Lepisosteus oculatus: one gene and its partners. Each later gene encodes a partner of the first gene's protein in a complex. Links are inferred from orthologs where the notes say so. Each region holds a gene or a part of one and is shown on either strand. Other genes may lie near its edges. The genes, in order: yeats2, mbip, kat14 and tada2a.

Region 1 (7,245 bases):
TGGAACTCCACAATAAAAAGATTAATAATCAAATGCACTAAACTTCGAATCAGTTGTATTTTCGAATAATTACGTTATTTGCCTGAAATCACCGGGTAGTAAACTGTGCTGCGGACATCACTTTTAAAAAACGGTATGAATTGCAAATAACTACAAGATAAAACCATGTGTCAGGCACTAATAACGCGTAACGCTATCAAGCATGAAACTCACACAGCTTGGAGCAGATCCATATTAAAGCAAAAACACACTATATTCTTCCGTTCTGTGTTGCCTTAGTACTGCAGCTACTACCCGGAATGATCATTAATCGAGTCCGGTAAAAGCCTGCGGCCTGCACCGAAATAAAATTTTCAAGCTCGCCGCTCAATTTTATTTTGAGAGATCCTAACAAACGAGCAATAATCTGGTTATACTGCTATTATAAAATCGTGGATTTCGTGATTTATAAAACGGCTGCTGTCAATTCCTTACCCAGTTCCAAGCAGCCCGTCTTCCCAAACTTCCCCAATCTTATGCCCGGGATCAGCGCCGAGAAACTGCAGAAACAGACGGGGATACGCAACTTAGTTTTGGCCTGGAGGTGCAAAGAATGTAAAAGATGACTATTAGCGCGTTGATGGTGGTATAATTCCGAGAAATTAAGCGCCGAAAAGGGTAATATATCACCGGGAGATATGATTCAAAGACAATACTTTTTTTGGACATTAATGTGTGAGCGCCATGAACCTGCAGAGAACGCTAGGCCACGCAATACCGTCAAGTAACCGGTAGAGGACATTGCTCTGTACATCCTAGCAATGTTGTGCCAACGAACACAACAGGTAGTGATAAAGTCCAGTACAATAATTGAAGTTTTCTAACATTTATGGGACTTTATAGTATTAAGCGTTGTGTATGACAGGCAGAGGAATATAAAGTCACTTCGTTTCCTAAGATATTTTTATTAATGCGATGAAAATAACAATGATGTCTATTTTCATAACAAAAAAAATAAAATAAAATATACCCTGTTCTCTGGACCTGATAAGATCGCATTTTCATTAAAAGAGACATTATGAAAATGAAATGTACTTAGGCATTGTGATATTGCCAGTATTCTTGGCAGCAGAAGTCACTGGTTTTACTTAAATGAAGAACAAAAGAAAATGTTATTTCTTCCGTAAAGCAATGGAAGGATGTTTTGTGAAGGATGCCTGCAATGCTATCAGTTGTTGTTTGCTTAAGGTGTGCCCAAATGTTTCCACATCTTTGGACTTATTCATTTTGTAAGCAGACAAAGCTTCTGACTTCCAGTGAAAACTAAAAAGGATGTCCTGAATACAGGAGCTGATTTCACAGTTTCAGTGCCATTTATGCCAAGAACCCAGTGTTTAAGTTATGATCATTGATCAAAATATAGATGTTGCATTTTTAGTGAGGTCTTATTACCTTAGAAGAACACTGGGCCTAAGTACAAGGAACACGATAACAGTGCAGTGCTCAGATGCAGTTATTGCGGCCAATGCAATGCACAACAGCAGTAAACAAATACAAAAGTTTGCATTTCCCAGGGGTTTAATTTGTCCACATATTCTTGTCCACAGAGAATTTTACTTTTTACTTTTTCCCTGCAACACATTTTTAAGAAGTCACTTATTGCATGAATTTACAAAGTGCAACAAGTTCTCACACCATCTTATGGGAAAACTGAAGCCCATTTTAAAGTGAAGGATCAAACATTTACGTCTCTTATTTCACTAATTTGCTTTTACTGTGTAAATCATTTACTAACATAATTTTACTAACTATCCTGCTAGAATAATGGAAAATTACTAACTGCAACTTAAGTGTGAGCCGGCTACATACCTGGAACATGAAGGGCAGAGCCAGCATCGGACAACCTGAACAGAACTGAGAGTGCCCGATATCTGCTTAACCCATGATAAACAAAATCTAGAAGTACATACTGTCTGCTTAAACAATAATTAAAGGAACCCAAGAATATTCTTACAGTTTATCACGTACAGTACCAAGGCTAGCAGCCTTGGCTTTACAATATATATGGCATGGAATTGTACTGGAACTGTTCTGGGTGGGTTTTCTGTTTGTGATTTTGTATAAAAAGCGTCCTTTTGTATCTGAATTGAGTCATTGGCTTTGGCTCCCGTATGCACACGTAATAAAGGTAATAGTAGTTCAGGTGGGTAGCTGCGTCAGCATGCATAGGCTGCAAAGGAACAAGTAATATGTTTATTCCATGCTGAAAAAAAGAAGAAAGAGAACACAACGTTTCGGCCGTGGAGCCTTCTTCAGGTGTGACACACTTGTACTACCGTATAAGCTTGTGAACTAGAAGTAGCTCAAAAATGGCAAATTTTAGAATGAGGAAAATCATATTAAGCTTCACTGAAGGATTGCAAATATCTTGATTACTAATGCAAATTACCAGTGCTATTCTCTGGTTTTATGATATGTGTGAAATATTATCATGCAAGAGATATAGTGTTAAGATATTTGCTTGAAAGCCTAACAATAAGAAACGAAACCCTTTCTCTTGAATTCTTGCCATGAAATGACATGAGGAATTTTTTTTTGCCGCGCTTCATTAATAACCACTCCTGCAGCCTCAGAAACCCTGAGGTTGATTTGTCACAGTTTTAACAAATTAATTAAATGTGGAGAAATCAATTGTAATGTCTTTAAGCATTTTTCTCCATGTAAACCATAACATTTATATATTTAGTAAGAAAATCTGCAAAAACAGCACAACTGCAACTAAAATAAGAACAACAATAAAAGCAATAATTATAGTTGTTGTTGTTGTTGTCATGATTGCTTTGATGTGCTATAGGGTGATGCAAAGCTAGGAAGAGATTAGCAGTATTTATGTAATATGGACTGTAACACTGAGTGGAAAATAAACATCATGGAGTGTACGCCCTGTTTCATATGAATATTACTCACCTGGTCCCCGCCATGAGGACCTGTTCAGGGCACTCCTTTGTTCTGCACACCTTTCCTTCTAGAAACTACAGCACCCTGTGGGATCAAAATACTGCTGACGTATTATTTCACCCTCTGCTTTTCACCTGGATTATGTTGATACAGATATACAGTACACAGATACGCACACTTTGGTCAGTCCCAGGAAGCTGTGGATGAAATCTGCTCTGTTACAAAAATGAAATGGAGTAGTCTAATGTTAGCTATTTGTCATGTTAAAGAAAAGCATACAGTACTGATCATTGTAGACCAACAAGTATAAAATACCATTGAATTATTTTGTTTTCAAAATTAGATTAATATTTTTAACTTGTTCGATAACTAAAAAAAAAGGTACTTGCTAAGTAAAATATCATTATTGTGTTAAAGGAACAGTCTAGTACAGTATGTGGTTCTTTAGATGCCATTTCTACACAACCTGATATCGCGGCACTGATATCTATCCACCTTTACAAAATGGTGCAGATCAAGACAAGAGTATTCCTAGCGTCTATTCAAATTTTCTAAAAACCTGACCATATCTTGGATTAAAGCAACAATATCATGCTTTTGAATCGCTTATTTGGAAATTTTTGTGAAAAGAAAAACTGGATCATTTGAGCCCTTTGTCTGACAAACATATTGACGTCTTAGGTTTCTTTATTATGACACTAAAGACTCTTTCTACACACAAAAGAACAAAGGTCTGCCCAGTTTTGCTGAGGTTCTATGAATGTTGTGTAAACAAACTGGTACAATGAAGGAGCAGTTCTTTAATATTCTGTTTTGAATCTGTTTGTGAGGGCAGGTGTTGCAAATGTTTGACATCTGTCTTCTGGTATTAAATCCTTTGTGTAGACACCATACATTAACCCCTTACTGGAGTGGCACAATATTTCTTTTCTCACATTCTAGTCTTCATGTGTTGTTTTCTGAATCTTGCTATTTACTGTGCCAAACAAAAGTGAAAAGGCATTTCCAGTCTGACTACTAGGGAACTAACAAGGGAAACCAGATTATTTTGCACGAAGCCTGTTAGTGTACTTCTTCACCTCCATTCTTTCTGCAGAACCACATGAAGCCTCTCTGAGGCCCACTTTTCCTTGATTAGAAATGAGCCTGTAAAACAAAATTCTAAACCGAAACTATGATTTGAATCAAATGCAAAAACTGCAGAACCAGAGAGGCAAGCAGAAAGACAAGAAAAACAGGTGTAATTAACAACACCTTTATAAAAAGAATGACTTTTGAAAGCTGATTTACAAATAGTGAGATCCAATCATGTAGTATAAATATATGATTTTGTTTTTGTCTACAGTAGTGTTAACATTTAAGAAAATGCTGGTGTGCATGTTGTAACATATGTTTTGTGTATAGCTTTATTACCATGTTCTAATTACAGTATATGTCTTGAATACAGGACTGAGTAATCAGAACTAAAGTACTGAGCAGGTACAGAATACAATGCAGTAAAGTAAGGCCATGAAGATAAGGTACCAAAACTGTTGAAAATCTACCCCTGCCCAACTTTGGGTTTTGCGACTCGAATATTTGCTCATGCTCAGAAGAACAGTTTTACTGTTTTTGAAGAAAGCACAGTGAATTCAAACAATACACACACCTGCCAGTTGGTGTTCAGCATTCTTCTAATGATTCACCACATCCAAAGTGTTTAGATTAGGTAAACTGGAAACTGAGGACAGTACTGTGGTCCTGGTCCTGTTCCTAGATTCCTCTACATTGATTTGGGGTACCCAGAAAAAAAGGACTATGTTTTGAAAGTTGTTTTAATCTCACCTGACCTGACAGATATGCATGTTGCATTGCTTCAAAGTGCACTTATGATGCCACTGATGCATACATTTCTAGGTCTGACTTTATGAATTAAGATGCTGCAGCAAGGAGCTGTGTGTTAAAATGTCTTGGTTTTAGATTTAAACAATCTTTAAATTCTTCATAAATGGAGTTGTTTACATGTGGTGTCAACATTTTCACAAGCCTGCACTGCTTAAGTTTAAACTTTTAGACTACTCACAATGTTAAACATAAAACATTGTTAAATGTCTAAAACTCTAAATGTTATGTTATACATCATCAACTTCAGATCATTTCATGTAATGCCTAAACAACAGTAATCCATTTAAATGCTACTAGCTAGTTATGAGAGCTTAATAAAAATTTAGAACTTTAGTTTGCAATAGCTATGCTGGCTAAGACTCAACAGAGATTTAATGAAAGGCTAGTCAACACGTGAGGTAGAATATACTGCGGTTTTTGTAGTGCCAACTTCAACAAACTACAGTTAGAAAACAAAGTATATCTTATTTAATACTTCAACATATTACATTTTACACTAGTAGAACCAATTGAACATATTGCTTAAGTATATTCCAGATTTTACATGTATGTACATTTATTATAAAAGAATAACATTTCATTTTCAAATTCAAATATTAAAATATATTTATCTAACTTGAAACCTAATGTAAAGCACATTTGAAAAACAATGTTAAGTCTATCACTGCATGGGTTTTGAAATACCAAGTATCAGTTCTGAGAAGCAAAACACATACAGTACCACAGCTATTTTGGTATATTTGTATAGCCTTTAGCCTGCTATGACATTTGCAGAATTAACCATCAAGTTAAAGAGGTATTTAACTGTTACATTACCAGTTGAGGAAAACAAACATGTCGAAGTGACAGACCTGGCTTTTGTCATCCTTAATGGCTGAGTAGTAGTCTGTAGATTTGACGGATTAGGGTTCATAGATCATCCCATGTGCTCAAATTCAAGTTGGTAGCTTGCACATGATTCACTGAAACTAAGCAGCTGTCTGATGTTCAAGACTACTGTTTCTTACGCAAGATCAACTGGTAAAACAGTTTATACAAAAATATTTTTCTGTAGTGCGCTGTAGGAAAAAGAGTTTCAGCAATACAATGTATTATCCATAAGTAGTCGGTGTTTTGAATTTAAGAGTATATAGGAGTTTGGACTGCTTTTTCGAGGCCTAAAACAAAAAAAGTGCTGTAGGGGACATAAGTTCAAACAGTGGCAGGATGTGGCTATGGATTCCTTAGCCATTTGTACATCTTTCCAAAGTCAGCAAAAGGCCCAGTCATTTCACAGTTGAACCAATATGATGAATTCTTTAGGTTTCTGAAGTTGCATATAACAGGATTACAGAGGAAAAATACAAAATAAGAAAAGAGGACGAGAGTATTTATTGTAAATTCCTCTGCAAACTGTAGGCTTAAGTGTAAAACAAATGATTTCTGAATTTGTTTATGATGGATAAATAACATTGGGAAATTTGACATTTTCAACCCCTTTAATGTACATCAACACTAACAAGTCTTTACATTTTTTTTCTTTAGGCAAACACTGACATTTGTTACATAGCGGCTTGATGTGACTATTAAATAGGAATAAAGTTTTTGTTGATTTATAGGATTTGCTACATTTCAATAGTTATTTTATTTCAGACTCACTGGGCAAGAAAAGGTTTTGCAAATGTTTAGAAGCACGAAAGCAGCCACCACCCCACCAACATTTTCAGGCAGTGATGAGGCCCCTAGCTCTTCAAAGTAAAATTACAACAGAAAAGTTTCAATAAAAATGGCAATCATTTAGGAGAAAGTTACTTTATTAAGGCATCAGTGATACATCTAGTACAATCATACGCAAGTGGCTTAACACACATACAAAATGTTTAAATAAAATGAAAGGTGAGAGAAAAGAAATTATCACGCAATACTATAATGCAACCATTACACAACATGTCAATTACTGGCTTATCAATAAAAAGGTTAACTAGTTTTAACATGCAGCCTTTACATAACAACAATCTCTCCAAATAAAATAATGATTTGTGGAATTGACCATTGTATGGCATACACCATCAACTAAGTTTGCTCCTGAAATTCTTGTGTCAGTGTACCAGTTATGTTATGCTATAAACAGTAAATGTGAGCAGACTAATCAGTACACTTTTCACTTTATTTGTTCTATGGAATTCTTTGATTTACCTTTTACTTGCTAAGTTTAATTTTTCCCTCTCGATATAGGTGTTCTACTTAAACTGGCTTGAATGTTTTCCTTAACCAAATGCTGTGTATTCTCATACTCTAATATTAAAAAACAAACAAACAAACAAAATATTAAATTGATATATAATTTCAAGGCACTTGTGTTGTAATTAAAGGCAAAGTAAGATAACTAGTCTAGTAGAAAATTCAGTAACAAATCAACTTAGCACACCAGAAAAGGCTATTATA
Region 2 (7,873 bases), on another chromosome or scaffold:
TGTTCGTCCTGATTCAAGAAAAAGGAAACTAGACTCAATATGGAAATACAACACTGCTCAAAACAATGTGATTTGTGTGCCAGTAATGTTTACAAAACTTGATTTTATCACCAGCTGGAAGCATTTGACGAGTGTATTAACACTGGCTTCCTGGTTGGAGTTTAAAACTGCATAATAAATATTTTACATGTCCTGCAGCAGGGGTTCCCAATCCTGGTCTTAGAGACCCACACACCTGCAGGCTTTCCTTCCAGCTGAGCTCACAGTTTGATAATTGAGCCCTTAATTGACTAATAATTAGATTAACTTGAATCTTTCATTGTTTTCAATGTGCCTAAACACATTGTCAACGGGCTTTTAAATATGCCTTTAGATATTGACTGCTTTACTGTTTCGTTATCTAAAAAATCTAAACAAATATTTTATTCAGTTTCATAAGGAACTGAAGGTCTCTAGCTTTTGCAATGAAAACAAAAACATTCACAGGTTCCAATCACATAAACATAAAAAAAAGTTCAGGTAAGGATTCAATCAAGTAATAAACTGGACTAGATTTAACACCTGCAGGTCTGAAATTCCCCTTTTACAACAGGAACCCTTTTATGACAAGTAAGGAAATATTTCTACTTCCAGATCTTAACATTTAAGGAATATTTTGCCAAAAAAATAAAGGAATAATAATAGACACTTATATAAGGACTGTCTTCTCTCCTTAGGATGAAATAGTATTAAACATCAGAAATCAGCTAAGTTAACATGAAAGGAATTGTCTTTTTTTCTGTCCAGTTGTTAGCAGCATGGCATCATTATTTTCTGTTTACTTTTTCGGCTTGGCTTTTAAGTCAATAACCACATGTAAATTACTAAGACAATATAATCTTTCCCATTTTTAGTGTTCAAAATCATTTGCATTTTGGATGTAGTGCTGTCGCAGTTCAGTGAACGAGCTGACTCTCCAGCTTCTCCAATTTGTATCACAGTTTTCATCTAAAATGTTTCGGTTGTGGACAACAAAGAGCATACATCCATGGTCATTAGGAATCTATTCCTTTTTCTCTTTTTCTGACATTGTTGGCCATAGAAACTCACTGACAGTTAATTACCATGGAAACAGCAGTAATGACTACTTCATTTTTGTTCTCTTTTCTTACATTCATTCTTCTTGGAAAAAAAAAACGGATTTTGGTAAAATGACTCAACGGACATTTTTTACAGCCCAAAACAGCATCCTGAGGTGCGCTGGAGGAGAATTTTACTACATTGCCTTAGTCTGGTGATAATCTTCTAGCATGCTAAAGAGGTTGGTACAACAATTCAGTACCTAACATCTGTGCCCCCACATAAAAAAAACACTGTATTTTTTAATTTATTCCATTCTTCTCTATTTCTACAAGCTGTTTGAAGGACAGATTCAAGTCTCTCCTTTATTCTGTAATATTCCTAGAGAATGTGCTTCAGTTGGCTCTCTCACTCCTCTACCTTGACAGGCCTTTCATTAATAAACCTTGCCAGCAGCTTTCTTGTGCTACTATTAACCTGAAAACCATTAAATGGAACCCCCAAGTCCCAGGTTTCTCTTTGTATGCAGGCTTCCACAGATAAGGACCTGAGGAACAGAAAGCCTTTTCCTCCCTTTGCCCTCAGCAGTGTCTCTTTTTTAATTAGCTGTTTCCACAAAAGCCCAAGAACAATAAGTCAAAATGATAAAAAAAACAATGCATGACACCATTAGACGCGGAACACCAAAGCTCGACTGTACCGACAGCAGAACATTAAAGCCCCCTTTTAAAAGTATGCCTTCTTAATGTATTCAGCAACTGACACTGTATCACATTTTCCCAGGGCTCCTGTAGTTTTCTGCACTTCTTAACTCACTGCTTCCTTCTTCTTCTTTCCAGCCCCTCTGTTTCCTTTGACATTACTGGGAAGTCTGTGGATTTTAGCTTTTTTTCTTTACATTAGGGCTGGGAGGGTGTGGGGGGGGGGTGTTGAAGGAAAAAACAATCCTAACCTTTTTCTTTGTTTCTAAAACATGAAAGCAGACATCTGATCTATGACTGTTGCAAAACGCCACTTCAATAACATAACATTTTAAAAATATAACTCCCCCAGCGGGTATTTGAAAAATGTATGTGTTCAAATATTGAAGTAAAGAAAACGAGTGTGCTTTAAATAACTTCAAATTGTTTGAAATGCAACATTGTTATATATTCATTGGAGAATACTAGGGTATCTTTCTCGTTAGACCAGGCTGGTTGTGCAAACAAATGTTCCCATCATGAATATTACCAGCCTGAGCCATGTTCTAACATCACATCAGAGTTTTAGCCAGATGTGGAAATTCACACCAATAATTAAGTGGAACATAACCGAGTGTGGTGCATTTCCCCTAATTTCTTCATTGTTAGCCGTGAACTGGTGCCGTAATGGTGTGTTCTGGAGGAAGCACTGTCCTTTGCTTGCCAAAACCCTTTTGTTGTGTCTTTTCAGGCACAAGGGAAGATATTTTCCATTGAAGAGGAAAATGTGTAGTACGTTTACACTGAAACCTTGGGAAACATTTGTTTTACAAAAACGCATAGCAGTCAAATTAATTCATCTTTAAAATCAATTTGTTTTAGAAACTATGGTTTTAATGTTTCATTTTAAATAAAAAAATGTTGTTTTTTTTCTGGCAAGTCTGTCTCTTCAGCCAAATAGAATATTGTTATAACAGCCTGTTATAATATCAGGTCACACAACATTAGGTATGCTATTTAATGGAATTAAAGCTAATTGTTTTTCTTCTTGTATAGATACAATAAAGGCTCTCCCTCCTTTACTGAAGTATTATAACCCCATATACAGCTGCACAAAAACTGGGATTCCCTTCTGCACTTATGTGCTACACTGTGAAAAAGGGGTATCACTCACTTACACACATTGTGAATTTAATCATATTTTCCTTTTAATAGAACACAACATTAATATGTGGATATGCCCTTCAAATTATACCCTCATAAAAGAAAGTCATTCTCTCCCTTGTATAAGCAGGAGAAACATATTTATTTATCTGTTTTCTTATGATTAAATAATCATAAGAAATGTACCCACATGTAACAATTATGGAACTATTTGCCTTAAAGAATGCATGGAATTAATAAATATGGTCAAAATAGAATAATGACTATTATAGCTCCTTTTTTTCTAGCTTTTCTCCCCCATTCTCTCCCCTAATGGTATTTTCATTGCCATCCATACAATTCCCTTTGGAAAAGAAAATAACTTTTTTTCCCACACAAAAAAACATTGGGTGGTTGAGTGCTACCAGAATCCTCCTTGTAAAACTTTATGTTCTTATGTGACACCTCTCACCATGTTGCTGTACAACCTTCTAGTTTTATCCGAACGTCTGAGAGAGGCTCCTTCATGTTTCTAACTGGAGCCTGCATTGTTGGTTATTCTTCCAGCCTGTTCATTCTGATATGACCTTTCTTACAGAACCACTGAAGAATTCCAAAAACCTCTGGACTGCACAATCAAATGGCTCATATCTGATCGGATGTGAGCTGTTTCACTCAATAACAGTATATTTCAACAAAAATAATATATTGAATTTTTTTAGCTTAGTATCATTTTGAATAGGTGGACCTATTCCTTTCCCCTATTTTCATGTGTACATCCAATGACATTTTTGCCAACTGATTTTTTTTATGGTGGTAAAATTACAGTCACTCTATTCTTTAAAGATTACAGACTACAACCTCATGCAGTTAAACAGGGTATGAAGAAAAAGATAGTGATTGGGCCATAATGCCAAAAGTAACTTTTAGATATTTTCAATAGTTTGCATTCAGAGAAGAAGTAAAGAATCTACGCATTTTGGGCAAAAACAGATTGTTCTCTAGATGAAGGCATCCTAACTTTCAGACTACATGGTTTGAAATCCAGTAGGATTTTTTTATTATTATTATTATTATTAACATCTGCTTAAGGCTCAGGGGATTTAAAGGGTTGCTCCTTTAACACTTTATTGGATCGATCCAGCAGTCCTACAAGGTGTACAGTTCTTTAAAACATAAAATGAGTCAGATTGCCGACTGGAGTTAAGAACACTTAAGTTAGGACATTCCATTATCGAGAATCGAAATCTTGGTATAAAATAAAAGCATTATTAATCTGATGAAAACAGTCGGAATTACAATAGTTAAAAAAGAACCGGACATTTTTGTGTAAATGCTAAAACGACTGACCACTAAAGTCCTGAGACAAATATAAATAACGTAAATCGCTTCACTTCACTTATTAGTACTTTAGCACTCTTTAAAATATACAGATTATTTTCTAATCTGAAAATCCAAATAGGAATAGAAATCCAACATATGCTTCAAATTATTATTGGTTACAGGGCAAGTTGGATATAAAGTTAATATATGAAAATTTGCATTTGTTTTATAAGTCAATTGTAAATGTTATGTTTTTTTATTTTTATTTATGCTTAACAAAAGAACAAACATTACAATACAAACAAGAGTACATATAACAATTCCAAACAAAAATATCGTCAGGGGTACATACTACTACATCAATTCAACTTATGAAAAAAGATTAAACAAATTAAATAAGAATAATGTTCGCACCGCTTTCATATTTTTGCATTTCGAAATAGTCAGCAAATACCTCTTCCATTTTAAAATGCTCAAACACAGGGTACCTCCCAGACCACTTCATTGTATGTATGTGAAATGTTATAAATGTTGATACTTATTTTTGCATTCACCTCCAAAACCTTCCCTCCCTGTCTTTCCACCAATAGCAGATGACTCTGGATTGATGTCACTCAAGCGCGACTTCGCTTCACTTAATCGACCAATCATCAGGCACGACGTTCAACTCCTGAGCCAAGGGTGTCATGGCTGATTCGGTGGAGACCAGTGCAGACAGTTGTGAAGGAGGCGACCAAAAGAAGAACGAGACAAGAACATCTCCTACAGGCACAGTTACAGAATGTCTTTGTGACATCTTCACTGCCTTGACCCAGTTTAGCGCAGAGGTTAGTGTAGAAGAACACGTACAAGTTAAATGTACTGCACTTATTAATTATTGTTGGGACTTGTAGCTAGCTTTCTGTTAAAAATAAAAGGTGGGTTTTAAGAGGTGTTTTGTGCTTCGGTACAGGTATCTGTAATCTTAAATGTTGCATAAGAAGGAATCTTGTCAGTAAGAACAATTAAGGTTTGCAGTTACTGTAACTGTGTTATATTTAACTTAGTTTGCTGTTTACTCATTTTAAACATGTGTTAACATTTTTTGAGTGTACACATATAATCTGTAGAGTACATATTGTAAAACGAACTACGTACGAGTGTATAACAGTTGCAGCCCCGCAGTAAAAGCCTCCATAACGTGTAAGTCTCCGTTGTTTAAACTACAGCTGTCATTAATCAATTGCTCACACTAAGACTGGACAACTGCTTCAATATTTTAAAAAAAGATATTGTCCGTGATCATAGGTTAGTTGCTATTCCGTTTTTAGAAAATCCAATATGACTTTAAAATATTTTGCAATAACGTTAGAACTCATGTGAAGCTCTTGCTGCAAAGTACGAAGCGCCTCGTTATGCGAATTTTATATGGTACTATTCTCTCCCTATTTGAGCTTAACTATTTTTTAATGAAAATGAATCAATGAAAGGGTACTGTACTTTGAAAATGTGAATGAACTAGTTTGTTCTGCAATTATATGGCACGTATTCAGTTCAGGGATGGCACGGTGGTGTACTTCTAAGCTTTGCTGCCTCGGTTCCGTTCCTATGATACTATTCAAGTGGAGTCTATTCTTTTGGTGTACCTTTCGTCCAGGTACTCTAGTTTCCTCCCACAGTCCAGAAACATACTGGTAAAAACTGGCTTTTGGAAAAAGTGGGCCTGGTGTGAGTGTGTTTCGTGTCTGTATGTGTCCTGTGATGGATCGGTATCCTGTCCAGGGTGTCTTGTGCCTGTTGCTCCGGCTCCCACATGACCCTTTATTGGATTAAGCGGTTAGAAAATTGAAGCACATGCAGTTAATTCTTCTTTTGTGGCAACAGGGAGGGTAAATCGATTAAGGAATAGTGTGGCACAGCTGGACAACAGAGGCCAGACAAGGCTGTCTTGGCTCTTGGGCTAAGTTCTGGACTGGGGCACCTTCTGTTTGGAGTTTGAATGTCTGTGTGGGGTTTCTCCAGGTGTCCTGGTTTCCTCCCACCTTCCAGAGACTGGAAGGCTATTTATGTATCTTCGCTGGCCCTGCATGCTTGTGTATGCCCTGTGAAATGTTCCGTCTTGCACCCTATGCTTCCAGGATAGGCTCTGTGCTGCCGGGCCCCTTGCTACGAATAAGTGGCTCTCCGATAATGGATTGATGAATTATATTAAATAACCGAGCTAGGGTTTATTTTGTGAAAAGGCAACAAACTTCTGGAAACTGCCTCCCTACAATTTAGATTTTTTTTCCCTTCGTTATTCTTTGATGTAATATGGCAAGCCAATTTGAATGTGTTTTAAAGGGTGCTTCACTGCTGACTGGCTTTGTCATCTGGGTTTTAATTAAAGAGTAAATAGGTTAAACAATGGAGCAGCATAGTGGCCCGATAGCTAGCTTGCTGCTTTGCTGCACTGGGGCCCTGGGTTTAATTCCAGACCTTTCTGGAATTCTGGTTTCTGTGTTCTCCTGGTTTGCGTGGGTATCTTCTGAGTGCTCCGATTTCCTCCCAGTGTCCAGAGGCATGATATTAGCTTAATTGGCTTCTGGGGAAAATTGCCCCCTGGCGGAGGGGTGGGTTTGTGGCTAAGGATCTGCGTGTGTGGCTGGAAGGTTGCTGGTTCAAATCCCGCGGCCAGCAGAGGAATCCTACTCCGTTGGGCCCCTGAGCAAGGCTCTTAACCCCAGCTGCTCCAGGGGCGCTGTACAATGGCTGACCCTGCGCTCTGACCCCAAGCTTCTCTCCCTGTCTGTGCATCTCATGGAGAGCAAGCTGGGGTATGTGAAAAGACGAATTCCTAATGCAAGAAATTGTATATGGCTAATACAGTGATCTTATCTCTAGTGTCAGTCTGTCTGTGTGTGCCCAGCGATAGACTAGCATCCCGACTAGGGTTTATCCTGCCTTGCGCCAGTTGCTTATTGGGATAGGCTCTGGTACAACTGCTTACAAGTACTGGATAAAGTGATTCAGAAGGAAGGATGGTTAAACCATGTCTTGGTTAAAAGTCTTCATAACAAGCAACGGTGTTTCAACAGTTAACAGACATCTTCAGCTTCCAAAACAAAATCCTGTCTTGTGTTGTGGTGATGAGGCAGACATGGTGATGATATAAACCCATCTTTCTTCATGGGTTTCACATAATACCTGTGGGAAGCATATTTGTTATGATAGGATATATTACCTAAGTGCACCAGTTCTGTATTTTTTGGGGAAAAAAGCTAATTGGAAAATAGAAGGCTGAACTCCAGCAGGACTAAGGCATTGAGTAGTACTAAAACAATTTGGCATATTGACTGATGCACATGCACTTCCCTGTCTTTTTCAAGGTTAATTTAGGAGCTGATGTATTACAAATTGTCGCAGACCAAAGCAAGCTGCAGTTCTCTTCAGCTACTCAGCCGGCACAGCTGTACAATTCCATTCAGCGTCACATTTCCAAATTACAGGTAAGAAATCAACACATTTAAGATTTTTTGTTGCTAGTTAAATTATAATGTAAACTCTCTTTTCTCCTCATAAATGGGGCATCAGTGTGTAAATTGTTCTACAAATGTAGATTAAAACTATATTTTGTCTTTTTTTGTTTACTACATCATTTTGAAACATGTGGGTGTTTCAGGATTTCAAAAGTATTTGGAAAAAAATTC
Region 3 (6,938 bases), on another chromosome or scaffold:
CAGCACGTGCTGGCGGACATCAGCGGGGTGCGCGCCATAGAGAGTGCCGTGACCCATCAGACTCTGCAGTACGTCGGCCTGGTGGACTGCGTCGCCCAGTACAGGTGAATGGCCTCTTAACAGTCAGTTTGCTCCTTGAATTCGGTCATGCGGCATCCCATGATGCATTGAACTCCTTACTCTGACATTGAGGATCGATCTCCAGGCTCTCTCCCTTCAAAACACAGGAGAAAGGCAGCCATTACTAGGCTCAAAGGTAATAAATACTGTGTTTAATTCGGCACCCCAGAATCTTCCTGAGAAAATTGAGAAATTGTAACACTGGAGGACCATCATGCTTTGTAAATGTCACCACACACAGGCATGTGAACTGAAAATCAACGTATCCTTCATTTTAGCTTAATATCATCCTTGTAGAATATTATCATCTTTAATATTTATTTAGGTGGAATTGTCATCTGTGGCGTTTACTTTGTGTTTTTAGATTTTTTTAGCGACAACATAGAAGCTCTGTCTATGAGTGTCTGATTCATGAGAGACACGGTGTGACCCATGATTCTTTCCTCACAGGGGGAAGCTGTGTGTGATTGACTGGAAGACCTCAGAGAAGCCCAAGCCACTTCTGCACAACACATTTGACAACCCCTTACAAGTTGCAGCCTATATAGGAGCCATAAACAATGATGACAACTACGGTTTTCAGGTTTGTGTGATTCAAACTGATGACTTCTTCTATATGTGCTTTTTTTTGTCATATAAACATTTTTAATCTCATGTACTTTGAGTAGTTACTGTTTCTTCATGTTTCAAGTTGTCACTGGTGATCTAGCTAGAGAAGTTTGAGTTCTGTGAATTGTGAGCCCTGTAATTCTCCTGTTATGAAACTCCAGTACACTGAAGTACAGAAAGGATTGCACATAGAAGTGCCTTTTATATAGAGACTGCAAAGATCTCGGTAATAAATATATTAAATTTAATCGAGATGGATGTTTCCCTGTTTCCCTTCTGCTTGCCTTCAGGTGGAAGACGGGCTGATTGTGGTGGCCTACAAGGATGGGTCCCCTGCCCACCCTCACTTCATGGACTCCGCTCTGTGCCTGGAGTACTGGACCAAGTGGCTCTTCCGGCTGGAGGAGTACCTGGAGAAGCAGTAGAGGGAGCGGGAGAGAAGAGCCCAGGAGTGCACAGCTCTTTACACGGCTTCCAGGCTGCTACCCTTCCGCACACTCGTCACGTGCGGCGGCGGCACGCTAACAGTGCGTTTGTCACATTCACCCGCTTTCCTTTCTGGTTGTTTTCAAATCAAAAAGTGTTTTCTTTTTCAGTTCTCGGTGGTGAACAGTCGTGGCCGAGGGTGTTGGGGCAGGTCTGAGCCAGAGCCTGGAACCAGGCTGCCTGTGCGCTTGTTGCACTGGGGTGAATACACGCGTACATGTGTGGACACAGCCATAGCCAAGGCAAGGAAAAACGGGAAAACAAAGAACCCATCATAGGCAGCACCCCTGGGTTTTATTCTTCAAATTGACCTCGGAGAGCAGGGTTAATTACCACGCCTGTGATTGAAGAAAACGCGTGTCTGTAATCGCCATCATCTTGATGCACTGTATGTTTGTTCTGTTCCTTCACGGCAAAGGATCTACTGTATTTACATGTAAGTCAGACTTCTAATAAATAAATAAAACTCTTAAATTGCCCCTCTGGGGATGAATAAAATATTTTGAATTGTGTTAATTACTAATTATTCTTTTCTATCTTCATGGGTAATAATTTCATAGGGACCTGCAGACCCTGCAGGACTGTGTTTCTGGCCTGGGAGATCAGAGCAGAGGACAGGAGGTCCTTGATTTAACGTACTGCTTCTCCTGGGTTCCCTTGTGATTTCAGGTGCTTAATATGAGTTTTTCTTGTCCTCTGTCAGAATTAAAAACGTGGTACAATCTTATCTACTCCTGTCTATTATTTTCATAAAATATATATTTTGTAATTTGTGACAGTAAATTAAGCAAGTCGATAAATGGGAACGTTTATACCCGATGAAAGTAATTGGAATTAATTCTTATTTATAATGAAAAAAATTGTCTACGAAGAGATCATAGGAGATCATATGTTAGTAAAAACTTTCATCACTGTTGTGCGCTCGTACTGTCGGCTTAAGGGGGAAAACGTGAAGCCACCTGCCAGGACCTGGGTACGTACAACGTTGTGCATCTATTCACTGCTTTCAGACTGTTCCTGACCACGCTGTGGTGAACCTCGAATTGTTCTATACTCAATTGATTTTGACTGCGCGGTTATTGCGTCATCGCCATGCGCCGGGACGGCTCTGCTGTGAAAACACATTGGTTTTACTCGAAGTAGTGCCCTTGACAGATAATGTGGTGTTGGAGCGTTTCGGATTTTTAAGTGCCTTCCTTTAGCTATGTCTACAACCTCCAAGGTGGTGTTAGGGATTTCTCTAGCTCTGACTCTGGGAACGGTGGCGGGAGTTCACATCAAACAAAGTCTGGATCGAGAGGTGAGAGCCCGGAGACGCCTCAGCTTTCCCAGGCCGGTTTGTTTATTTCGATAGTGTTTCAGCTTCTGCTGCTGTATTCCCGTGAGAACTCACATCGTCGCAGCATTTGTTTCCTTCTCTACACGGGCAAAGGCTTGTAAACGAATGCACCAATAAGTCTGGGTGGTGTGGGGAGGATAAAGGACTTTTAGCAATGCATAGAGTTTGGCGTAAGAGGTCCCCTGTGAGGTACTGACTGGATACAGGATATATGGGCGAGTTAATTGAAGGTCAACAGATTTAAAAACATTCTGGACACAGACCTGTAAAATACATTAACAACAGTGTGAATTGAAAAAACGTTGTTTTTTTCTATGAAAACACTCTGTTGCTATGCTGCTACCTCAGTAAGTTAGTTTTAGCTGATGAATGTCAGAATCTTGTGTATGTGTGCACGCATATAGCCGTGTATCTATACTTGTGTTTGACATGAATTAGTCAAAAGAATGAACTAGTCCTCCTGTGCTTTAAAGAGACGTTTAAGGGGTTAAGTCAATTGCAAATCTAACAGAGTTGTCTCAAGGAGTGTGAGAGCCACCTGTTGATGCTCTTGTTCTGATCGTGCTGCTCTTGCATCTCCGGCAGAGACTTCGGGAGGGTGTTGTCCGGGACCTGGAGCGGCAGGCCAGGAAAAGGGAGAACCTGCGGCAACTGGAAGAGCAGATCAGTCTGACCAGGGAGCTGGAGAAGGAGCGGGAGAGGAGAGCAGCAGGCGCTCAGGGCTCCTAGACTGGCAGGCCACCCTGAGAGAGGCTCAGACATCGCCAACAGCTTATGTGAGTCAGGCTGGTCCGCTGACTGTGGGTGTTCTGGCCTGTGTGGCCGATGCTGAATGACTCTGTCCTCCAAGCCAGGTGTGTGTACCTGAACGTGGTTGATGGGCTCTAGGCCAGAAGTGTCTTCAAGTTTTAGTTCCAGTCAAGGTCTCAGTTACTTACTTGAAATTGTTTGAAATTTTCAGCAGATAAACATAATTTCAAAATGTGGTGCTTAAGCAAGCGATCTGTTCAATCCCAGGCTCAATCATTTAACTGAGGGTTGAGCTGGAATACTTAGTAAGTTTCCTTGAGGGTGTGGGAGTCTGCTTTACATGGGACGTGTAAGAAAATTTCATGATGTGTACAGGCCATTCAGCTCATCAGAACTACAAAAGGCCTTGCTCCTTGAGAGACCTTGTTGCAACACTGGTCTGGATAAAATCCTATTATTACTGATTCTCTCTCTTCCTCTGTAGTATCAGCGCAGGACCTGCTTTGCCAGTTGCATCTTGTTTCCTGAATGTATCTGTTGGAGTGAAACTGTCCCCTGTCCCGCAGGGTTGTGGGGCTCTGCAGGCAGCCGGCCCAGAGCGCCCCTGTCAAGCGAGTACGTGCCAGCGATGGACGGGGGATCTGGCGAGATGAGGGGCCTGTCCAGCCAGCGGATGGACGACGAGGCCACGCGCACCTCGGCCTCGGAGGGGCTGGAGGAGGGGGAGGTGGAGGGGGAGACGCTGCTGATCGTGGAGTCAGAGGACCAGGCCTCTGTGGACCTCTCCCATGACCACAGCGGGGATTCCCTCAACAGCGACCTCGGCGACGAGCCCGACTCCAGCTGGACGGAGGAGATGTCCTTCTACTGTGATAAGTGTCACAAGTGGATCCCAGCCGGTGAGACGCACCTGCAGCTCACTGCCAGCTTCCGAATCTGTAATGGTGACTGTGGGCTTAAAGCTTTTTTCCTTTTTAAACTACAGTCTAATACTGGCTCTTGTAAAGAAGGGAAGGGTTATCTCTGCAGCCGGGAAGCTCTCCCCAGTGCACTCAATTCCCTCTTGGCCAAACTCCCTCTCTGACTCAGCCAGCCGGATGACGGACTCTGACAGATGTCAGCTACACCTCTGTGGCTCTCCTTGTCCTTTCTATTCCTCCCTGCTCTACTGCCACTCCATTGCTCTAGTCACTCTGTTGGCTCCTTATTAACACACACATCCCCCTCGAAGCCCTTGTTCTTGCACACTGATTACTCAGCGCCTCTGCTCTTGCTGGTCTTCAGTCCCTTATCTCTCAGCCTTCTCCACCCCATCTCTGCTCCTCCTCTTCATTCCCTCACGTCTAGAGTCTGTTCATTCTCCACCCTCACCCCTCAAAGTGGAGTGGACCTCCCCCAGAAATTAAAACTGCTCACTCGGTCCCTGACCACCTTTCGGCACCTGCTCAAGACTGGCCTGTGTAGACAGCTCCTGGGATCTGAGCTCTCATCTGCATCCTTCAGTAACCCTCATGTTGCAATAAAATTGCTAATTCATAGACTGGTAAAGGGGCTTGCTAAGTTAAGTTCCTCACAGTAAAGAAGGCATACAGACTTACAGGGTGTTGACATCACAGCTCCATATTCACACTGTCTGAACTCTGACTATTCTTGGGAGGGCGTTGACCTTAGAGTAATTCAATTCAATTTATTTTTATATAGCGCCTTTTACAACAAGGTTGCCCAAGGTTGCCCCAAGTAAAGTAAAATCCTATTTTTCTGTGCTGATTCTGAACATTAGCTTCCTTGTTCAACATCCAGGTCAGCTGCGAGGAGACCAGCCCAGCTACCTGAAAGGCGACAACTTCTTTAAGTTCACCTGCTGTGAGTGCTCAGAGGATGACAAGGAGCACTTTGAGAGGATGAGGCTCACCTGGCAGCAGGTATGAACCAGGGATATTCTCTCTGGGCCACCCCTGACTGCTCAAGGGTCTCCAGGCTCCAAATCATCTGATTGAGTCCAGTTTAAAGGTCTTATTTCAGCTCTCCAGAAAAATAATTACTCATGCTGACATTTACGATTTTGGGCCATATAATACTATGACGTTATTAACACTGTTGACACCTGTTGATGTTTGAAGTGGTCATGACTTCCTGTCCTCCAGGTGGTCATGCTGGCCATGTACAACCTCTCGCTGGAGGGCACCGGCCGACAGGGCTACTTCCGGTGGAAGGAGGACATCTGTGCCTTTATCGGGAGACACTGGACCTTCCTTCTGGGATCCAGGTAGGGCACTGGGGTAATTGCTAGCACTGGCAATTGGAAACAGAGAGAACGGACGACAGCGGTGTGTGTGGCTGATCTGCTCCCTCTGACTCTACCGTGCAGGAAGAAGACATCCACATGGTGGAGCACAGTGGCGGGGTGTTTGTCGGTGGGGAGCCCCATGTTCTTCCGTTCTGGAGCCCAGGAGTTTGGGGAGCCAGGCTGGTGGAAGCTGGTACACAACCGACCACCCACCCTGAGGCCCGAGGGGGACAAGACCTCCGTCTCCTTGCTGAAGACAAAAGGTGAAACGCTGCTCTCTCCTCTGGTTCTGAGCTGAGGCATGTGCCTGGAGCACAGGAGTAAAACAATCCAAAGGAATGCTGTTCCAGCATCTCATATTTCTGTCTGGATAGAGGTCATATGGCCTTGCTGATCAACTGTTCTTGGAAAATGGCTTCTCAAAGCTTAATGCCAGCAGTCAATCAAGGGAGACAAAGGACTTTTTCACCCTGACATGATGGGCTTCCCAAACATCAGCAAGGTTACAAACACCTGCAAGAGTCTTGGTCCAGCTTTTTCTTGCAGGCCTGCCTGGGGAAAGCTTCAGCAGTAAATCTGTTTTGCCTGTACTGCTGAACTTGTGCATGGAGAAGTTCTCATTCTAGTCAGTGCTCAGTTCCTGCTCCCCTTGTGTCTGTGGGGAGGGGGGAGGAGGCCGTTTTCCTCATCTGACTGTGGTGTGTTTTGCCCCCTCAGCCCCCTCCAAGCCCCCGCTGGACCCCATCATCACGGTGGAGGGCCTGAGGAAGCGCGGGGGGCGCAACCCGGTGGAGAGCGCCATGCAGCTGAAGGAGAAGCGTTCGCGCACCCAGGAGGCGAAGGACATCCGTCGGGCCCAGAAGGAGGCGGCCGGCTTCCTGGACCGCAGCGCCTCCTCCACGCCCGTCAAGTTCGGCAGCCGGGGTCGGCGGCCGGAACTGGTGCTGGAGAAGGGGGAGGTGATCGATTTCTCCTCCCTCAGCTCCTCGGACCGCACACCGCTCACCAGCCCCTCCCCGTCCCCCTCGCCTGACTTCTCCGCCCCCGGCACTCCGGCCTCCCACTCCGCCACCCCCAGCCTGCTGTCCGAGGCTGACCTCATCCCGGACGTCATGCCCCCCCAGGCGCTCTTCCACGGTGAGGCTGCCCTCTCTCATGTGCGGCTGGGCTGCAGCAGACCGGGCCCGAGAGCCTTTTCCATCTTCCTGACGATGGGTGTCTGTAAGGGCTTGAGTTTTCGCCATGTAAACACAGGGGGTTTGAAAGAGACCCTGGGGTCTGACCAGCAGCTGTATCACAGATGCAGTGGAAATGTCAAGGCTGAAGTCAAGACAAATCATGTCCGAC
Region 4 (7,664 bases), on another chromosome or scaffold:
GATCAGGCCCAGTGCAACCTTTTCTAGCCAAGACCCATGCAAGAGCCACACAACTGCAGGACCCCTAGACTGTCAGTCATGGTTTTAAGGTAGCATTCTGCCTCTACCTAAATTAGCTGCAATGTAAAGCACAAGCACAGTACATGTGTGTGTGCCAGGCACACTGCCAGTACCACTGTATGCACTTCTGATCAGCCCTCTAGCTGAAGCACTGTGTCTAATTCCTCAGGATACCTACTATTGTCCACCAAGCCGAATCTCAAAGTGCACTCCCTGGTGGATTGAGTGACAAGAGAACTTGCTGAACATCCACCCATGCAAGATATTTTCACAGATTAACAGACCCCACATTCTGCAAATATATTGTCCTGCTTTACTGGAAAACGTTAAAGCATCATAGCATGTGAGGCACCTGTGTGTACTTAATTAGATCTATTATTATGAGCCGTTAAAAAATATATATTTTAAATTAAAAAACAAAAGGTCAGTTGTTCTAATTTGAAATCCAGTTATTAAATCTGTGATTATTATACAACATAACTTTTATACCTAGATTTAATCTTATAAATTCAATCATATTTTTATCACCAACGCCTATGCCCCAGCAATGCATTTTTCGGCATCCACTGCTGCTTCCTGTACTATTGAAAACTCCCGGTCTCCGAACTACCCGATCGGGTACTCGGAGTTGGCTGGTGAAATTCCTCCTTGGAACTTCAGTTAACACCCAGACCCCACAATCCGTCAGCAGCAATCCCATCTCTCCCAGTGAGCTGCGAGAAGAAAGCCTGCCTGGTTTAATCGAAACTCAAGTCAAAAGACTTAACTGACCCCTGTCTTTAATCACCTGCACTCTTCCTGCAGGCCCCCATGGATCCGAAACCCTGTGTGTTACTTTGGAGAACTCCCAGGACGTCAGCCAGTCCAAGGGAACTCGGGCACTAAAACAAGGGGAAAAGGATAAGAGCAAATCTGCAAACATGCATGCTCTGAAATGTGTAGCTCGAGTTAAACCTGACTGCTGCCCCTTGCCGAGAGCTGCTTTCTGACAAGCCTTCCACTGCCACTGTGCAATTTATACTTTCTACTGTTAGGCACATCACAGCCTGGCTTCAAGGGTTCATATATAATTGAGACAGTCTTTTGCGGCTTTGATGGTGGCGTCTTTTATTCACATGGAGATGATGGCTCGCGCCAGCGTTTTCAGATCTAATTTTGTCTCTTCGTTTCAAAGAAAGAACCCCCTGCCATTTAATTATTAAATGCTCCTGGCTGATGACAAAAGAATCGAGGTGTTCTTTCAATCCGCCGAGCTAATCTTCAAAGACCAGACTGTACGGCACCTATTAGGAGAGGTGTGAGCTGTGCGCCTCTGTACGCGGTCCTTCAAGGGACAGAGGGCTCAGAAAAGCCACGCTCAACGCCCAGTGCCTTCCTTGAACGTTTTATGATGCACTGGAATAATAACATTATGCACATTAAAAACGGCAAATTTGGCTTCTAATGCTTTTAGCAAATCACCTTTTTTTGGGGAAGAAATCAATATTCCGCCCAGGAGGAGGAACTCCCATACAGAATGGCTTCAACCAGCAGCATTTTCCTTTTCTGACTCGTTTAGACCCGATTCGTTCCTAGGGGTTCCAAACCTGGCTGAGAGCCCTCAGCGGCTGGTGGCGTCTCCCCTGGGGGACTGGAGCCCACCCCCCAGACCCAGTGTTCACTGCTGTCTCTTCACCGGCAGAGGAATCCTACTCCGTTGGGCCCCTGAGCAAGGCCCTTAACCCCAACTGCTCCAGGGGTGCCTTACAATGGCAGACCCTGCGCTCTGACCCCCAGCTTCTCTCCCTGTCTGTGTGTCTGTGTCTCCTTGGAGAAAAGCTGGGGTATGCGAAAAGACGAATTCCTAATGCAAGAAATTGTATAGGGCTAATAAAGAAACATTACTATTATTAACCTACACCCCAGTGGCCTTGTTTGGTTGCAAAACCCATTTTTGGTTTCTGCTCTTTAAAGGGAGAACAGAACGGCGTCTTTCTCCTTGACGTCCACCAGAAACCGTCCTGCAAGGTACAGAATCTCTGGCTCATTACTGGACAGGGCTCCAGCAGTCCTGCGCTTCACAGTCCCAGTGCAGAGTGAGGATAAGACCGATGGTAGATTTATTTCAATATTCATGTTCATAATTGAGCAGGCCAAGACCAAAGCTGGATTCATCGGCGAATGAGATCACAGTGCTCAGGGGATTTGGGGATGTATGTGAAGACCCTTAAAACGGTCATTTCCTGTTCCACTGCAGTAACGTTGCCCTGGGGCAGTCGGAGCTGCACTTCCCGGCCCCGGGTGGAATATCCAATAAAAGAGTAAGGCAAGTCTACTCGTTTTGTTTTCTCCCGCTCCCTGGAGAATTCCACAGACACGGAATTTTCCACTCCTTGCACCCCCCCCGCAAAACTGTTATTTGATGCCAGTAAAGCGCAGGGCTTTAACGCCGCGGGTTGCACGAGGAACGGACGGGCGACACGTCACACTCAACGTCACACTCGGTCGCGAGCCGCTCGCGCGCGCAAGGAGCGCTGTAACGGTCGGTTTCTCGGCCGAAGAAACGTTTTTCCTGAATTTACCTGAACGACGCGAAGCCGATCCCAAGATGGGCGTCCTTTCCTCTCTTCCGGCGCTCTTCATCGCCAAAAGAGCCGAAGTATTATATCCCCCAAGTCAGACTGCAAAATGAAATTTTATTTTATATTTCATTAGCGGAAAACAACTCAACTCAACAAAACAACTCAATTAATATTCCAGATTCTCGGCCCTAAATTGGGAAACACCTCAGCTTAACCTTTTCCTTACCTCTCCAACAACCATACATGCTTCTTTAATAGGTCATTAGGGAAGTATGTTCTTTGAAAAAACAGAATCGTCAATTTTGTTACACAGGACCACACGCTTTTTTCAGGGCTCGGCTGGTACCGCAGAAACCCCGCGAGCACCGGGGGCGGGGGAGGGAAGCCGGAAGCGCAGCGAGATTCCCCGCCCCTTTTCCTGCCCTCTCGCCTTCTCATACGTCACAGGCACCGCCTCCTAGCCCCGCCCAGTAGCGCAGACTCAGCAGCGATTGGACAATAGTGTCGATTGTGTAGCCCGGATCATTCTCTGGAGCTCTTTAGTAAAAGGGCATTTAGAGCCGAAAACAGGAGGCACGTCCTTGCGCAAAGGGTGGTAGGGGTGTGGAACAAACTCGCCGGCCATGCTGATGAAGCCGATAGACTGGCTTCCTTCAAGAAATGGCTTGGTGAGATCTTTGGACCAATTAGCTACTAACTGCCAAGCCATTCTGCACCGAATGGCCTCCTCTCATGTGTAAACTTTCTCATGTTCTTAGCATCCTTTCTTTCTGAACCTCTGCTTCTCAAATGCAGCACTTACCCATTATGCGCTCTCTCGTTTCATCAAAGCTTCCCAAATGAAACTGCAAAAACATACTACAGTATGTTTGTGGAGTCTGCCTACCTTAAAAAACCCTAATCGATCTGTTTAGGTTTAAACCAGATAATCCTCAGACCCTCATCTTTTAAAAAAGCACAAAAAAACCTCCCTTCATTAGACCGTTATTCTTGAAGTCTGCACATCCTGTTTGCTGTGCTGTAGTCAAGCCAGGTGTCCTGGGAAGAAGGAAGAGAGATCAACAGCCGCCCAGGAAATCCATCTCAAAGTGGCGAAGGGTCACTTCAGGCTGTGCCCCAGGAAGGAAAAGGCTGTTTGTTCCAGGTGTCAAGGGAGCACTCCATCCATCTGTGTGTCGAAACCGATCTGCTGTTCCCCCTGTAATTATAAGATAGAGTTACTGGATACCCCCCTGATTTCAGTGCCCGGATGAACTGTGGGCTGGTTTTAATTGCTCTCACTGGGGCACTGAGAAGCCCCACAAGCGTCAGGGATTTCCTAGGCATTCTGGGAGGCAAATTGGCAGCTCTAGTTCAGTATCAGTCTCAACTCTCTCGCTTGTTTCTCTTATAGAATCGGCAGTCCAGCCAGTTTTCTATCTCTAAGACCTCAGTTTGGAAGTGACTTCTGTCACCAGGGGCAGCAACAGAAGACACAGTTGAATGAGGATTGTGCCTCTCTAGGAGGGGTGATTTTATCAAACGTGCATCGTGCAGTCATGCAGCCAGCAGCCATGTCACCCTGCAGCTCCCAGCTGGTGACCCTCTGAAGCCCCGCAGGTGTGAGCCTGGTCAGTACCTGGATGGGAGACCTGCTGGGAGAAACTAAGGCTGCTGCTGGAAGAGGTGTTAGAGAGGCCAGTAGGGGGCGCTCACCCTGCAGTCTGTGCGGGTCCTTTACTGATGTGGACACTATACTGTAAAAAGGTGCCGTAGAACTGGGGTCCCGACTCTCCATGGTCACTAAAAATCCCAGGGAGTTGGCAAGATTTCCCCCTGGCCTTTACCAATCATGGCCTCCTAATAATCCCCATCTCTGAACTGGCTTCATCACTCTGCTCTCCTCCCCACTGAGAGCTGGTGTGTGGGGAGAGTACTGGTGCATCGTCCAGGTGGGGCTGCACACTGGAGGTGGTGGAGGGGATCTCCATTGTCTGTAAAGGGCTTTGAGTGAAGTGCTTAGAATAGTGCTACAGTATATAAGGGTAAGGAACTACCATTATTAGTTTTAAAGCCTACATTCTGCATATCTTTGCATGCACGCGTGCCAGAAACAAAAACACAATCTGGATCTTCAAAAAAGCAAAGGACTGATCGGATCAACTCTGTTACATTTGGTTTGAACAGCACTGGAGAGAACAGGCTCTGCCGTTCCTGGGCGTCATGCTAGCAGCGCCCATCAGGCTTATCTCTGCGGACAGATGAGGGGCTGTTTGAGATGACATCCTAGTGAAAACAGGGAAAGGACAGCCCGAGCCGTTCACCTTGGCCAGTGCCGAGAGAGAGAGCCAGCCGATACACGAGTCACCCGGAGGGTCGTCTCTGTGCGCCATCCATCTTCATTCCCAGCGTCGCCGGGGAGCTCACAAAAACAGGTCGTGACCTTGGAGCTCAGGGCCTGTCATTCTGAGCCTCGCTCCGACATTCCAGACCCCCAGGAGTTATAGACAAAGAGGGCCATTAAGCCCTGATTGATTCGGAGGATGCTGTTAAAGGACATTAAGCTTGGAAATGAATTCATTCAAGCATGCTCTAAGTGAGGAGTTCGGCAGTGTTTCCCTTTCCTTTCTTTGGAGATTTTTCTAATCACTTGCAAAGAGAGACGTGCTTTATCCTGCATTCCTAGCTCCAGTCCTGGGCACAGGCAGGACAACTGGAGATGGGCAGGGAATGGGCAACAGGAAGGGCACAGTACTCCCATACCAAAAGAGAGACTGGTTTGAGGGGCGTTTCCGCAGCAAATTGCTTGGATGGACCTTTCCAATTCCCCGGGCAAACAGAAATAAATCCTCCGCACCACTTTGTCCCGAGGTCGTGCACAGTTTTGCACTTGCCCAGGAAAGGTTTGCACGTCTCTCTGCACGGCAGAAGCCCAAGAGGATGCAGGAGGCAAGAGTCACGCAGGTTGAACCCCGAATCCACAGGAGTACTGTATCTCGCCTCTCTTCCAGACCCCCCTGCCCTATGCCTTCTGGCCGGCAGTGTGCACCCCACGGCTCTCCCACCCCTTGTTCACCTGCGGTTCTGTGAACGTTCGGGAGGGAGGTTCCGTCTGACTCGGCTCTCCGTAATTAGCAATCACCCCTGACATCATTTCCTCTCCTAAACACTATAAATACTGGACGGGACCCCCTTCTCTCCCTCACGAAAGTCTTTCTGCATCTCACCTCCACCCCACCTCCCCCTCTGCAGCTGCCCCTGGGTCACCCCTCACTCTGCAGGGGGCTCCCAGCCTCCTCGTCCTCCGGCCAGGAGGTTGGCCCTCAGCCAAGTGGGTTAAGCCAAAATGTTGACTAAAACACTCCACAATCCATTCAGTACTCTTAATTCATCGGTGTTGTCAATCCTTGTGAAACAGCGCTAGGCCGTTGCTCTGAATACTTTATCGGAATCAGGACATACATTCTGTATACACTATATATGCAAAGTCCTCTGATCTTACAATGTCCTGCTGTGTATGCAACAAAAAGACGAGCACAGAAGGGAGCAGGCACAAACACAGCAGAAGCAGTATCGGAGGTTTTACATCACAGAGGCCAACGCAGAAGGATGCGATTGTTACCAGCTGTACAGACAGGGAGGGAACACCCAGGCTGCGTTAATTTTAATGCTGCACAAAAGAGCACCATACAGTAAATGCTATACACAAAGGATCTTGATTTTAAATTCTTTTTAAAAACAGATTGGGGAGGAACTCCAGAAAAATGAGCTCCCTCTTCTGCCTATCTTCCCTTCCAACTATCCTATCCTGTCGACATGAAGACACCTTATGACAGGTTCTAAGACAAAGGGTTTAGTATTAGTAACCCACGGTTACAAGCATCCAAATGACAAGCGCTTTGTTAGAGCTGTCTCTGTCAGGGTCAGGGGTCACCTGGGGCCACAACCCCAAAATAACCCCCCCAGCCACCCTCCTCACGGCTAGAAGGCTGATGCTGTATAGTTTTAACAAGAGTGTAGATGCTATACAGTACATCGTTGATGGGAACTACGCATGACTAATGTCACTTCCGCGCATTTAATTGAAACCATCTCGAATTGGTGTACTTTTAAAACGGGATCATCCGCTTGCAGTCGTATATATATCGGGCTGCTGTGCATGAAAATGCACCCAGGCCTCGGGCAGAGCGGAGGCTGCAAGTCTCCGTCAGCAGGAGGGGTGCTATGTGTGCTCGTTGGGGGTAGAAATTGATCTCCGTAACACGCGCTCAGAAAACAAACATGAAGAGAATCAACCGGGGCGCAGCGGTGGTGACAGAGAAGTCTCCTTTCTTGTTGTTTGTTTCAGAAAAGGAGCCATTTCTCCCTTGGGCGAACTCAGTGTCTGCCCACTCCCCCGGTGGGCGTCGGTCCAGCCTGGAAGGTCTCCCCCGCGGGGGTCCGAAGCTGTCGCGTCTCGGCGCGGCGAGAGGCTGGGGGTCTTTGCAGGAAATAAAGGAAACAACGTCCTTAACGTTCTCTCACAGCCCCTTTCCTGAAACGCGCTTCAAATTCAGACTTAACGCATGTGCTGGGACACAGGTGGTCTTCTTCTTGTCCCTTTTCCCTTCCATTAAACCATTACAATCCGCCCCCTTGTGCAAAGTACACAGGAGGATAATTAAATCCGGTGACGTCACCACGCGAGAAGATTTTAAAAAAACTTAGAGCGTGTTTGCGTGGGGGGAGTAATACCCCCTCATCACCTCAAACACGAGCCCATTCCACCCTTGAATATGTCCCACACATAACCTGTGTCAAAAGGTGGCCTCTGTTAGATGCCTTGACATTTCTAAGTAAATATCATACTGAAACCCCCCTTCATTCATTAGTGCAGTCGCAAAGGGGTGGTGCTGAGTTATGCAGGCCTGCTACAGTACCAGCTTCCTACTGCATGCCTGGGTAGGAAGTCCATATATGGACTGTGGGAGGAAAGGCATGCAGAAACGGAATGAACATGCAAACTCCACACAGATAGCATCCCAGCTCCAGAATGGAGCCCACAGCCCCAGCTTTGCAACCACT

Evidence for each region.
Region 2: yeats2 (region 1) and mbip share a complex: the UniProt entries of both Homo sapiens proteins name them as parts of the ADA2A-containing complex. The link is inferred for Lepisosteus oculatus from reciprocal best matches to the Homo sapiens genes YEATS2 and MBIP.
Region 3: yeats2 (region 1) and kat14 share a complex: the UniProt entries of both Homo sapiens proteins name them as parts of the ADA2A-containing complex. The link is inferred for Lepisosteus oculatus from reciprocal best matches to the Homo sapiens genes YEATS2 and KAT14.
Region 4: yeats2 (region 1) and tada2a share a complex: the UniProt entries of both Homo sapiens proteins name them as parts of the ADA2A-containing complex. The link is inferred for Lepisosteus oculatus from reciprocal best matches to the Homo sapiens genes YEATS2 and TADA2A.

Annotation. Positions count from the first base shown.
Region 1 is NC_090708.1:11,813,847-11,821,091, reverse strand, and holds the start of yeats2 (YEATS domain-containing protein 2), read right to left. Parts: upstream 3,018-7,245; 5' UTR 2,947-3,017; intron 754-2,946; exon of another isoform or gene 540-753; 5' UTR 475-539; intron 283-474; exon of another isoform or gene 214-282; intron 1-213. UniProt on the Homo sapiens protein: Chromatin reader component of the ATAC complex, a complex with histone acetyltransferase activity on histones H3 and H4. YEATS2 specifically recognizes and binds histone H3 crotonylated at 'Lys-27' (H3K27cr).
Region 2 is NC_090703.1:22,283,864-22,291,736, forward strand, and holds the start of mbip (MAP3K12-binding inhibitory protein 1), read left to right. Parts: upstream 1-4,860; 5' UTR 4,861-4,891; coding exon 4,892-5,032; intron 5,033-7,552; coding exon 7,553-7,672; intron 7,673-7,873. UniProt on the Homo sapiens protein: Inhibits the MAP3K12 activity to induce the activation of the JNK/SAPK pathway. Component of the ATAC complex, a complex with histone acetyltransferase activity on histones H3 and H4.
Region 3 is NC_090712.1:559,314-566,251, forward strand, and holds the start of kat14 (cysteine-rich protein 2-binding protein), read left to right. Parts: upstream 1-3,932; coding exon 3,933-4,203; intron 4,204-5,104; coding exon 5,105-5,226; intron 5,227-5,448; coding exon 5,449-5,570; intron 5,571-5,672; coding exon 5,673-5,854; intron 5,855-6,308; coding exon 6,309-6,728; intron 6,729-6,938. Other genes in the region: mgme1 (mitochondrial genome maintenance exonuclease 1), read left to right, coding at 1-104, 571-703, 1,020-1,154; protein PET117 homolog, mitochondrial, read left to right, coding at 2,420-2,515, 3,140-3,283. UniProt on the Homo sapiens protein: Component of the ATAC complex, a complex with histone acetyltransferase activity on histones H3 and H4. May function as a scaffold for the ATAC complex to promote ATAC complex stability. Has also weak histone acetyltransferase activity toward histone H4.
Region 4 is NC_090721.1:9,406,329-9,413,992, reverse strand, and holds the start of tada2a (transcriptional adapter 2-alpha), read right to left. Parts: upstream 3,014-7,664; 5' UTR 2,848-3,013; intron 2,721-2,847; 5' UTR 2,622-2,720; intron 942-2,621; exon of another isoform or gene 848-941; intron 1-847. UniProt on the Homo sapiens protein: Component of the ATAC complex, a complex with histone acetyltransferase activity on histones H3 and H4. Required for the function of some acidic activation domains, which activate transcription from a distant site. Binds double-stranded DNA.